3 linked regions of the Ovis aries genome follow. The protein of the gene in region 3 purifies or fractionates together with the protein of the main gene of each other region. This does not show direct contact. Links are inferred from orthologs where the notes say so. Each region holds a gene or a part of one and is shown on either strand. Other genes may lie near its edges.

The links.
Region 1: the proteins of TMEM43 (region 3) and ENDOD1 purify together in Homo sapiens (affinity purification with mass spectrometry; 3 studies listed by BioGRID and IntAct, with this or other methods). This does not show direct contact. The link is inferred for Ovis aries from reciprocal best matches to the Homo sapiens genes TMEM43 and ENDOD1.
Region 2: the proteins of TMEM43 (region 3) and BZW2 purify together in Homo sapiens (affinity purification with mass spectrometry; 3 studies listed by BioGRID and IntAct, counting the BioPlex papers as one, with this or other methods). This does not show direct contact. The link is inferred for Ovis aries from reciprocal best matches to the Homo sapiens genes TMEM43 and BZW2.

The regions. Positions count from the first base shown.
Region 1 is NC_056068.1:14,965,453-14,969,197, reverse strand, and holds the end of ENDOD1 (endonuclease domain-containing 1 protein), read left to right. Parts: coding exon 1-566; 3' UTR 567-3,501; downstream 3,502-3,745. UniProt on the Homo sapiens protein: May act as a DNase and a RNase. Plays a role in the modulation of innate immune signaling through the cGAS-STING pathway by interacting with RNF26.
Region 2 is NC_056057.1:26,115,074-26,118,818, reverse strand, and holds the start of BZW2 (eIF5-mimic protein 1), read right to left. Parts: upstream 2,677-3,745; 5' UTR 2,559-2,676; intron 1-2,558. Other genes in the region: ANKMY2 (ankyrin repeat and MYND domain-containing protein 2), read left to right, coding at 3,285-3,351. UniProt on the Homo sapiens protein: Translation initiation regulator which represses non-AUG initiated translation and repeat-associated non-AUG (RAN) initiated translation by acting as a competitive inhibitor of eukaryotic translation initiation factor 5 (EIF5) function.
Region 3 is NC_056072.1:57,993,143-57,996,787, forward strand, and holds part of TMEM43 (transmembrane protein 43), read right to left. Parts: intron 3,524-3,645; coding exon 3,454-3,523; intron 2,734-3,453; coding exon 2,663-2,733; intron 1,733-2,662; coding exon 1,611-1,732; intron 1,387-1,610; coding exon 1,312-1,386; intron 877-1,311; coding exon 775-876; intron 202-774; coding exon 84-201; intron 1-83. UniProt on the Homo sapiens protein: May have an important role in maintaining nuclear envelope structure by organizing protein complexes at the inner nuclear membrane. Required for retaining emerin at the inner nuclear membrane.

The sequences.
Region 1 (3,745 bases), on a different chromosome or scaffold from region 3:
CTGCCCTGCCTCCTCCGGAGACATCTGGGGAAGGGAGTAGTCTTCTGGGAAGACTCCTGGGCTTTGTCGTTACCCCGTTGATCAAGCTCTGCCAGTTAATTTATTACCTTGCCTTTGGGATCCTGAAGTACACTGTGTATTTCCTCTGGTATGTCACCAAGCAGGTGATTAACGGTCTAGAAAGTTGCCTTTATCGCCTGGGGTCAGCCACCATCACCTACTTCTTGACCATCGGGGAGGAACTGGGCAGCATTCCCTGGAAGGTCCTCAAAGTCACGGTCAGGATCACCAGGGCCGTGCTCCGGATCCTTTGTTGCCTGCTGAAGGTGGTCTGCCGCGTCGTGGGTGTCCCTGTCCGGGTGCTTGTGGACGTGGCCACGTTCCCCGTGTACACCATAGGCGCAGTTCCGATTGTCTGCAGGGACATTGCCATGGGCCTTGGTGGCATCCTCTCTCTGCTCTTTGACACGGCTTTTGGCACCATGGGTGGTCTATTTCAGGTCATCTTTACTGTCTGCAAGCGGGTTGGCTACAAGATTACTTTTGACAATCCTGGGGAGTTATAGAAAAAAAAAATAATGAGTGCCCGGCCCCAGTGAATTTGATTTTTTTTATAATAGAGAAAGCTGGAATATTTTGTCTATACTATGGTTTTCTGTTCACTGTCAATTATATTTTGGCCTTTGGTGGGGGTGTCTGCCTGTTCCAACCTAACCCAAGAGACGTGTTCAGGGTGGGATTATGTGTAGGTTGCCTGTTGGGATGTGGGTGAACTTCCAAGCCGTCCCCTTCAGTTAGTCCCTCTGATACAGGAGACCTTGTGATATATGCTAGTGTTCATTTGTGATCAGTAAAAATTACAGAAGAAGAATCTGGAAGAGGACCACTTTAAACCAAACTGTCTCTGAGAAAAGTAGAAAGGAATTTATTCCTGCTATTACTCTCTGAGACTCAAGACAAAACTGATGTAAGTATTCCTGGCCAATTTGTTATCATTTTGCTTCTCTTTCTCCCCAGCTCAGCTGACTTGGTGAGGTACAGACCACTTCCTTGTTGAAACAGCTCTCTTAGGATATAGAATCTGTTATGTCCCTTAGCTTTCCATGACTCCCAAGGATCTGTAAGGTTGTTTTGTTTCTCCAAAGTTGAATTTTGCTGCATTTTTCCTTTGAGTTAATGGTAAGCATTATATGCAAATATGGCATAACAAATTCTGAATGCAAGGGCTAAGATTGTTTGCCCCTTGAACGCTACCCAGATATTAAAAAGGGAGTGCAAAGATCAGACCTCTGCTCTGAATAGGTGCCGTAGGTCTGAGGATATCCTTAACCAAGCTTGGATTAACAACATATATTAAATCTCTGGCTGAGAAGATACAAAAATTCATATTCTGCAAAATACTAGATCAGTCTTTCTTAAACTTCCAGCAAGTACCCAATAGAGTAAAATGTTCTGACTCTGTCCTTAAATGGTGGTTTTAGTATAAAGGTATAAAAAAATAGTCAGAAAATTATAACTCTTCTGGCCATCTTGGAAAAAAAATTCATAGACACATATATCTAAGTTTATATGTATATAGTCTTGATTCAGAATCATTATCTCAGGAAATTATTTTTATAGTGTGTTTGATGCTAGAAAACATAACTCTCCCATTAAAGCAAGTTATTTATGAGAGCTAATCTCCAATTTATTGATCAAGCACTTGTCATTTTAATTCTTGCACTGAAAAATGATAACAGGAAGAAGCTGAAGCTCCCAAACTTTGCTCTGCCTTCTAGCGCCGAGGGGGAATCATCTGGATTTTTCTGAGTGTTCTAAAGAGTTCCTGTGAGGTAGAGTAGGACCCAGTGTAAACTGCTGATTTGGGGGTGCAGGCCACCATGCATCTGAAAGTTTAGTGCAGAGACCTGGGTCCAGAAAGGCAACGAGGAGAGAAGGATGGGCGAACCATTGGCATCAAGTTGATGCCCAAGAAATGTGAGTGTGATGAGAGTTACTTTTTTTGCAGAAGAATAATGGAATTGGACCCGAAGTACCAGGGCAGCCGGCAAGCTGCCATCCTGACCAATTTCTTACGTGAGGTAGGATAGTGGGACACCAGACCATGAACCTGTCATAGGAAGTAATACACTAGATTATCTAAGACTCTTAGGCAGTATTTTACCAACACTTCTGCTGGTGACCGTAAAAATCTGTAGTCAGGCTTTCCTTCATTTCAGTAGCGTGAGGAGCCATGAAGGAGAAGAGTGTGCCTTTGTACTGATGGGTCAGGTAGAATCCTGGCAGATGAAAGTAAGGGAATTTCAGAGGGGACCAGAGAGATGGTCTGGCCAGAGACAAGCTCAGCCTGACCAAAGCCGCCTCTGATGAGAAAGCTGACGCCTGATGCCAACTGATGGTAGACCGGGAGCCAAGGTCTTCTGCTCGGGTCCTATCCGAGGTGACATCCCACACCTTGGATGTCAGATCTGTGCCTCCCTGGTCTAGGGCCAGTTTTTCTCCATCATCCATCGAACAAACTGGACTCTGATGAATTAAATGGGTTTGGCCCATGTGATGAGGCAACTAGCCGTCCATGCACACCAGTAAGCTTGCTGCCTCCCGTGGAATTAATGTCCCCTCAGAGTACCTATCTGCATACCGAAAGGCCCACGGGGGCCATCCATGGCAGCTTGAGCCCCTTGGCACCATGCAAGAAGCAGGGCATCTAAACTTTTCTCGAGAACCATTCAAAAATGTCTTCCTTTTCAGTTCTAGTTGTTTAGTGTCTTATTTATTTATTATGGTGTGGCCTTTTTTGAAATCTGGAAAGGGATAATAAAGGGAAAACGAATCCCCAAGGTTGGGTGGCTGAGAGCCTCCACTCTGGACTGTGGGTCTTTGTGCCTGTGGCTCACCAGCCCCAGAAGGTGGCCAGACCGCTGGCCCACCCCAGTGAGCCACGTTGGCCTTTGGGGTGGAAGTTTGAGTTGATGAGCCCCGTCTCTGGCTGGAAGGTTTTTCTGTGGCTCTGCTATGTTCTCAGGCCCTTGGAGAGGTCAGCCAGCTCTTCATCACTGCAGAGCTGACTTTCTAGTCTGGATCAGCCACGCCTGTGGACACTCCTCTGTTCCACTGTGCCTTGTGAGTGTTCACTTCAGCATCAGCACTTGCCCCTAAATGCAGACGAAGGGATCTGAAGAAGGAGCTAGAGCGAAACACTGGTCATTCATCCATCCAACGTGCATTTGAACATCTAAGTTGCAGAGACTGACAACACGTGCATCCCATCTTTGAGGAGTTCAGATATCTAGTGGGGAGGATGTGGTGAGCTGATCCATGGACCACATCGTGGTAAGCCTGCAATGGTACTAGCATCCCTGGAGCACAGCAGGAAAACCCACAAAACATGGACGTTGGGGAAGCCTTTATAAAGGATGTGATGAGTCAATCTGACATTTTCAAGCTATGTACAATGCTGTGCACCTTGCAATGCTCAATAAAATAACTGTTGACAACTCATCAGCTGTTCTGGAAAATATATAAAGGGGAGAATCTTGGAATGAGGTTTGGAGGGTTATCTTTGATTTTTTTTTTTCCATTTTCTTCTTGATTGACATTAACTCAAGCCATTTCCACTCCCATCTGGATTTTTTGTTTTAATTTTTTAATCATATATGAGAAAACAGGTTAGATCAGTGAAACAGGCCCTGAACCTTCTTTTCCACGTTATTTCTCTGAAAAGCTATTTGGGACATGAAATATT
Region 2 (3,745 bases), on a different chromosome or scaffold from region 3:
TAGGACATGGAGAAAAACTGGGAAGAGGCTGGAGAGTTTTTTGTATCTTTGTCTCACTGAACCACATGAACATGTTACCTATTAGCTAAAGAATATATACTTTCCCCCTTACTTCCAGCCACGTAGATAGAGAAAAACGCAAAGAGAAAAGGTTTTGGAGACAGATCTAGGTTCCAGTTTGGGCTGTGATACTTCCTAACTGTAGGGCTGTGGGCAAATTAACTTCTTTTTGTTTCTGTCCTCTTATTTTCAGAAACAGGGGTAATATTGGCTTATTTTGGGGTCATTACAACAATGATTAAACTAATCCTATACAAAGCTTCTGGTGGACTATCTGGTGCTGACTAAGTACCCAGTAAGCAGTAGCTATTTTATTACCAACAAAACTTCTTTGATGTGAACACATTCTTAATACAAAAAAAGTTCCTTGATCAAGTCTAAGTTATGTTCATTAGCCGATCCGATTCCTACATTCAATATTAACACTGTACAAAACAATGAATGTAACCCATATGATAAATACTACCCATTACATTATCTAGAAATTTAAAATTAACATGTTACTTACATGCATTTCAAGGCAGATATTAGCTGCTTTATTTCTAGCTGCCTAGATTTACTGAATGAATGCAGTCACAGAGGACTAAGTATCAACAAGGCATCAGGAAAACAGGTAATAAGTTGCTATCCTTTAGAAACTGACAACCTCAGTGAGCCAAACAGGTGTGACCTTCAAGTAACCATGGCCCCAATTTGGCAGAAGACATGGAAATTCTGGCAATGAAGCACCCAATTCTGTAACATCCCTTCAGTTCAGTTCAGTCACTCAGTCGTGTCCGACTCTTTGCGACCCCATGAATCGCAGCACGCCAGGCCTCCCTGTCCGTCACTAACTCCCAGAGTTCACTCAAACTCATGTCCATTGAGTCGGTGATGCCATCCAGACATCTCATCCTCTGTCGTCCCCTTCTCCTCCTGCCCCCAACCCCTCCCAGCATCAAAGTCTTTTCCAGTGAGTCAACTCTACACATGAGGTGGCCAAAGTACTGGAGTTTCAGATTTATAGGATGTTAAATCACATGGTAAGGAAAGGTTACTCTGTAAGCATTTTCTTAGGTTTGTGGGTTGCTCCTTCATGAGACTGTGTTTTTAATCAGCTGTAACTGTGGCAATAGCAGCATTCTAAGTGTTACAAAAGATGGGTCACTCAAAAGCCTTACTACTTGTTTGAACAGTCACATCATTATTAAAGCATCCCTAAACAAAAGTTTCTTTGTTATACATTGAGTTGAATAATTTCAGACCATTTTCATGTGAGATGTTCTGGCTCAGATTTGCCCCAGCCTGCAGAGATGAAGCCTTAGAAAAAAAACATCTGGGATTCAGGGGGGGAAAAAATTTTTTTTTTGTTAAAGACAGGAAATAAGGGTGAACATCTTCCAGGATTTCAGAAGTGTTAGTGAATGCTTCCAAGAAATGAAGGTGTAAGGCCAGAGGAAAATACATTTTACTTCATATATGGCACAAGAGGGGAGGAAGAGTGGTGAGGAGGGATGCTTAACAACAACAAAAAAAATCTACGTAATCATTCAAATTATTCTCTTGGAAGCAGAAGGGTCTTGGGAGAAACACTAATACTAGACTGTAGAGAAACCATAAACACTAATTTCTAAACAGCTTTCACCAATGCTGTAAATATGTTATGGATAAGCACCCGGGAGGAATGACTGACTTCATATTAGCAAGCAAGTCTTATGGCTGAGCCACAGGAGGGTGCACACTTGTATTTATCCCCTAGCTTCCCATAGTGAAACCTTGAGGTTACATATTACAGTTGAATGAAGGTTGGATTAAGAGGCTAATCTAATGCTATATATAGACAGCAACACCAATTTAATCTCCGCCCCTTCCCCCTCCCCTCCCTATTTCCATAAATCTCAAGATCTGAGTTACAAAGAGACTGGCAACTCTAGCAGAGTGAAGAGGCCCTTCCTCCCCCCTCCCCCTGACTGTCTCCCCTAAATCAAGTATTAGTGCACGTGTAAATTGCTTCCAAACACCTTTTACAGGCACACAGCGCGATCGGATCCGGTTTTCTTCTACAGCTTCCAGAGAGGCCGGAGGAGATGACAAGTGGGGGCGAGGGGTAGGTTGCCAGAAGAGACATTCTCACATGCTTTCACCTCGCTTGTAATGGGGAGCTCCTTTCCTCCCCACCCGTAGTTGAGAGCCTCAACCTTGGCTTCCTCCGGAGTTGCATCTGGCGGTGCCACGCACGAGACGCTGGGCACCCGCCACTTCCCACCGCGTGGCCAGCCCCTGCCCGCTCTTGGTCTCTCGGGGCGGCCAGACGTGGCGAGTGGTGGGTCTTTACTCTAGGGCACCGATACGCTGTATAAGCGATGGTAATGGGGTGGAGGGGAGGCTTCCCCACCGAGAGGCAGGAAGCAGCCCGAGCAGGCACATGCTTCCTCCCGGCCACCTTCGGCCGGAGGGGAAGCTCCCAGTCGGGCTTTGGCTCCGGTGGTCTAAGGCTTCCCGGCTCTCCCCTGCCCTACCTGGTTTGCTTCTCACCTGTCCGAGGAGGTAGCGGCGACGCGCGAGGCTGGGGGCTGCGGCGATCCCGGCAGCGGCGGTGGCAGAAGCGGCAGCGGTGGTGGCAGACAATGGAGGAGTGAAGGACAGACACATTGACATCCACACGGAGCTCGGCGCAGCCCCGCCTCCCACGCCGCCCCGCCTCCCAGCCCGCCCCCGGCCCGGGCCGCTCCACTTCCAGGGAAATAAAGGGGGGGGTGTATAGCGAGAACTAGGGAGATGCATGCCCAAAGAAGAAATTTTTGAACACAGAAGTTTCAGATAGAGAATTTAATTATTGTGTGTCCTTAAATATCTGAACCGGAAAGAGTGGCTTGGGGGAAACGTGCAAGAAGCATTTAATTACCCCCCAGTGATTTTCTCCATTTGGTTTTTCCTCCCCAGGCCCTTCCAATGGGACAGCCTCGCCGCTGCCTCCTGCAGCTCCTCCTCCCTGCCGGGCCAACGAGGCGCGGGGGGCGGGGACGACCGCTGGGCCTGCGGAGACCGCCCGCCCGGCTCGCCCGAGCTCGCCCGCTGCTCGCCAGCTCCTGGAAGGAGGAGAGAATTCGAATGCTTCCGCGGTTGGCTACTTAGTGTCCTAGTCGCAAGTTGCCTAACGTTGCGGCTGGCTTTCCTAATACAGAAACGTCGTTTCTTTTTAGTACTCCCGAAGACACAGAATAGCCGTCAAGCTGGCGGAAGCAATGGTTCACATAAAGAAAGGCGAGCTGACCCAGGAGGAAAAGGAGCTGCTGGAAGTCATCGGAAAAGGTGTGGGTGCTGGGCTGCGACGGGGGCTTTGCCTGCCTGGCTGGGGAGCGGAGGGAGGGGCGTGGCGGAGCCCGGGCGGCGCCCCAGACCCGGCTGACCCCAGGTTGCGGTTTTACGAGGTTGACACCCTACCACCGGGAAACAGCGCTCCTCCCTTTGGTCTGGGACGAGTTGCGGGGGCGGAGAGGTGGGGAGGGAGAAGCGCAGCTGGGACGAGAGCGGAGGTTGCAGACTTTCGTCCTCTGAATCAGCTTTTAGAAGGTGGCACCTTTCCGGGCTCCACATCGGATAATAAAGAACCACCCGGGGGTGGGGCCTCAGAATGTGCATTCTTCAAAACTCCTCAGGTGAATTGACCACAGCCCACCTGGGCGATAGTGGCCGGAAAGTTTCA
Region 3 (3,645 bases):
ATCCCAAGGCCCTGAGGTCACAGCAGGGGCTGAGCGCACCCAGTGGGCGGTGAGGGCCAAAGAGGCCCCATCTGCCCACCTACCCAGTGTGTAGAGGATCCGTGTCATGAGGTTGAGGCCCATGAACATGGCCACCCAGCCGGCCGCCCGCAGGCCCCACGTCTTCAGCGAGTTGCTCTTCTGTTCCCGACGAAACACCTCCTGCAGGACAAGCAGGGAGGGGAGGTGGCCACAGCCCACCAAGGGGTCTCACGCCGCCCCGCCGGCAGGCGCTGGGCTAGAGGCCCCTCTCTGTACCCTGTCCTCGTGGCGTGGGTGAGGCCTGACCCTATGTTGAGGATGGGGGTACGCGGGTCTCCCTGGGGGTGCCTGCCCTCACTCACCTGGTCCTGCAAAACTCACTCTTTCACCCCAGCTCACACGCAGCTCGAAGGGGCCTCTGCCTGCCCCTCTGTGCTCAGGGCCACACGGCGCCCTGGCCCTGGCAACGGGGGCCCTGGGCTGCGACAAGACTGACCCACCCGGCTCTTCACTTGGGACTCAGCAAAGATGTTGCTCGCCACCCGCTGCCTAAGGAGGCTCCTGTTACCACGTCTGCCACCTCTGGGCATCCGGGGGATTCTCTGCTTTGCTCACCGCTCCCTCTCTCTGGACACCTCACCCTCTATTGCCTTCTCTTGCCTCACGGCCCTGGCTCTGCCTCCGTGGGGGCGGCTGGTGACCAGAGCACTGGAGCTGCACCAGTGCGCCACGCGGCACGCCGCGGCCGCTCACCTCTGCCGAGAAGTCCCCGTGGTGCAGGAGAAGCAGGGTGTCCCCCGACTTGGTGGCGTAGGGGACCAGCTGGTCGCCTCGCTGCCGGGCAATCACGGTGACCTGGTCAGAGACCTCTGGCTCAGAGCTGTGGGGCCATCTGCCCGTGGGGCCATTGCCCTCCTCACTGTGCACCAAGGCAGCAGGGAGCCCCGGGCCGCCCCAGCCCCTGCCGCCACGTGGGCCTGGGGGAGGCGCTCCCGCTGGGCTGCTCCCTCCACAGCCCTGGGGAGGACCCGGCGGGGGCGGGGCGGGGGTGACAGTCTGGAGCGCAGGACCAAGCATTTACAGAGCAGAGGTCAGCGCCCAGGGAGAGCGCCTGCACAGGGCTGGAAGACCCTCTCCAGGCACCGCGCTGAGACCCTCCAGGGCCACTTGCCCGTCTGGGGCCCGTGGATGTACGCACACACGACGGGGAGGGGTATGCCCTAAGCACACACCTGGGCCCAGGTGTCTGCACCTGGGAGGCCCCCCTTGTCCGCCTGGGGAGCCGCTTACCACGTGAGCGGGGCCCAGGTCAGGGTCGTCGCTGCTCAGCCCCGCGTAGGAGAAGGAGACGCGCAGATCCCCAACCTGGGGTGGAAGAGAGGCGCGTGAGGGAGGTAGGAGTCCGAGCTGGGGCCCAGGGCGCCCACCCGCCCACGAGGGGGTCACACCACCCCCACCCGCGCCCAGGTAGCCCCACTGCGCAGACAGCCGCTCCCTCCACCCTTGCCGGCTCGGACTCGCGCGCGCTGTCGGCGGCGGGACTCAGGGGCCCCGACCTCTGCCATCGAGCGCCTGAACCCGCTGGGTACCTCGGGGTACTTGGGGTTTTCACTGTGGTAGAAATAGTCCCCCCGGCGAATGATGTCCACATGCGGGTCCTCCAGCTTAGACAGGCTCAGCGTCTTGAAGTTGTCCACTTTGTCGATGAGCCCTGGGAGGCGGGTGGTCAAGAACAGTGCGTGTCTGCTGCAGCCCCGCCTGCAAACCCGCAGCCTGACACCTTCCCAGCTGGCCCCACAAGCCCGGCTGCAGGGTCGCCTGCCGGCGCATCCCCCGGGGCCTCTGGACACCTGCTCTCCCACCCAGAGGCCCTGCTCCAGCTCCGTCTGTCCACAGGGCCAGCCCCTTCAGCCTCCAGCGCCTCCAGGAAGCCAACCCCGTCAGGCAGTGACGGCCGCCCGGGAGGGCCTCAGCCCTGTGGCCTCTGCTCCCCAGGCCAGTCACCTGCGTCCCAGCCTGGCTCCCTGCCGCCCCGCAGCACGAGGCCGGGCTGCCTGGCATGGCTGGCACCAGCTGAGGGCCAGAGCACACGGCCGACAGCCCAGGCCCTGCTCACACGATCTCTTCCCTGCCCCTCGACGCGCTGACCCTAGGTGTCCTCGCTCCCTCGCCAGGTCTGGCCAGGGACAAGCCCCAGGAGTTTCGATGGCAGTCTCACAGCCATGCTGTCCCCTGCAAGCCCCTCTCTGTGGGAGGCCCTCCGGGGTCTGGCTCAGGGCCGGGGGCCCGCGGGGCTCAGGAGTGGAGCCCGGGGCCTTATGTGGGCTGCCCTCCAGGGCTGCCTGAGGAGGGGCTCTCAGCCCCGCCTGCTCAGCCCGGCAAGGACCCACACCTGGCAGCTGCTCCCTGAACAGGTTTCGGGGGGTTCCACACAGGGGCCCCTTCCTGGGAACACACCTGCCCTCTGGCCCCAGCCCAAAAATATGACGCTGGAGAAGTGCTGGCTGGCCCCTGCCCAGGGCCGCAGGAGACCCCTTCAACCACCCAAGGACTGAGTCAGGGCCCCGGCTCCTGGGAGGCGACCGGGTGGAAGTGCAGGGTTCTGGGTCCACGGTGGCTTACCCAACAGCCTGAGACTCACCCGCTGAGAGGAAAAACCTGCCGATCTGGACGAAGGGGGCTGTTGCGGTGAACGACTCCACGGCCATCGCGCTGGGGAGAGGGGGGAGCTGTTGGCGATGTGGGGCACCAGGGGAGCTGCCACCGTCCCAGGGGAGGTGTACGGCAGGGTCCGCACCCAGGGGGCTCCTGCCAGCCCAGCCCAGCCCGGCTCTGCAGTCCTGTCTTCCCCTGACCCCATCCCCTGCTGAGGAAGGGCAGCTTCCGCTGGCTTCCCATCGCCCAGAGCTTCTTACAATCTTGCCTGGACCCCTGCCAGCCTGTCCCACCCTGCCCCCGCAGCTGTCAGACGGCCCTGCCATGGACTTCACACCCTCCCCTCCAGACCCTTCCTGCCGGCATCCAAGCCTCACTGGGAACGTTCAAGGCCCTTTTTGGCCTTGCCCAGGTCATCACAGCACACAGCCCACACAGGCCCTGTCCAGCATCACGCCCGTCTCAACACCCTCACCCCTGCCCCTGAGCTAACCATCCTCTGCCGGACCCCTGAACAGGGGCGTCAAATGCAGCCGCTCTTGAAAGCCCTGCGGACGGTCTCCCCACACCCACCACTGACCACCCCTCTGGGCACTTGGCCCAGCCTCATACCCAGGCCCTAGGGCCAGGGGCGTCAGGCCCCGCCTCTGCTCACGGTGCAGGAGTGGGCCTCCGAACCCCAGCCCACATTTCATCAGCCCGCGAGACAGAAGTAACTCAGCCCCATTACTCAGATGAGGACGCGGGGCTAGGAACCTGCCAGGGGCTGGTTCTTACCTGGGGTTTTTGTGGCCAATCTCTCGGTCAAAGTTTCTGCTGTTGACGATCTCCGACCTCCATTCTGTGTCTGTTTTGAGCAGAAGGAACATGGGGAAACCACGGTAAGCCTCAGGTTTGAGGCCCGCCGGCCGCCCGTCCTCTTATCCAAGCCTGGGACCACCCACAGGCCAAAGGGGCAGCTCCTGGAGC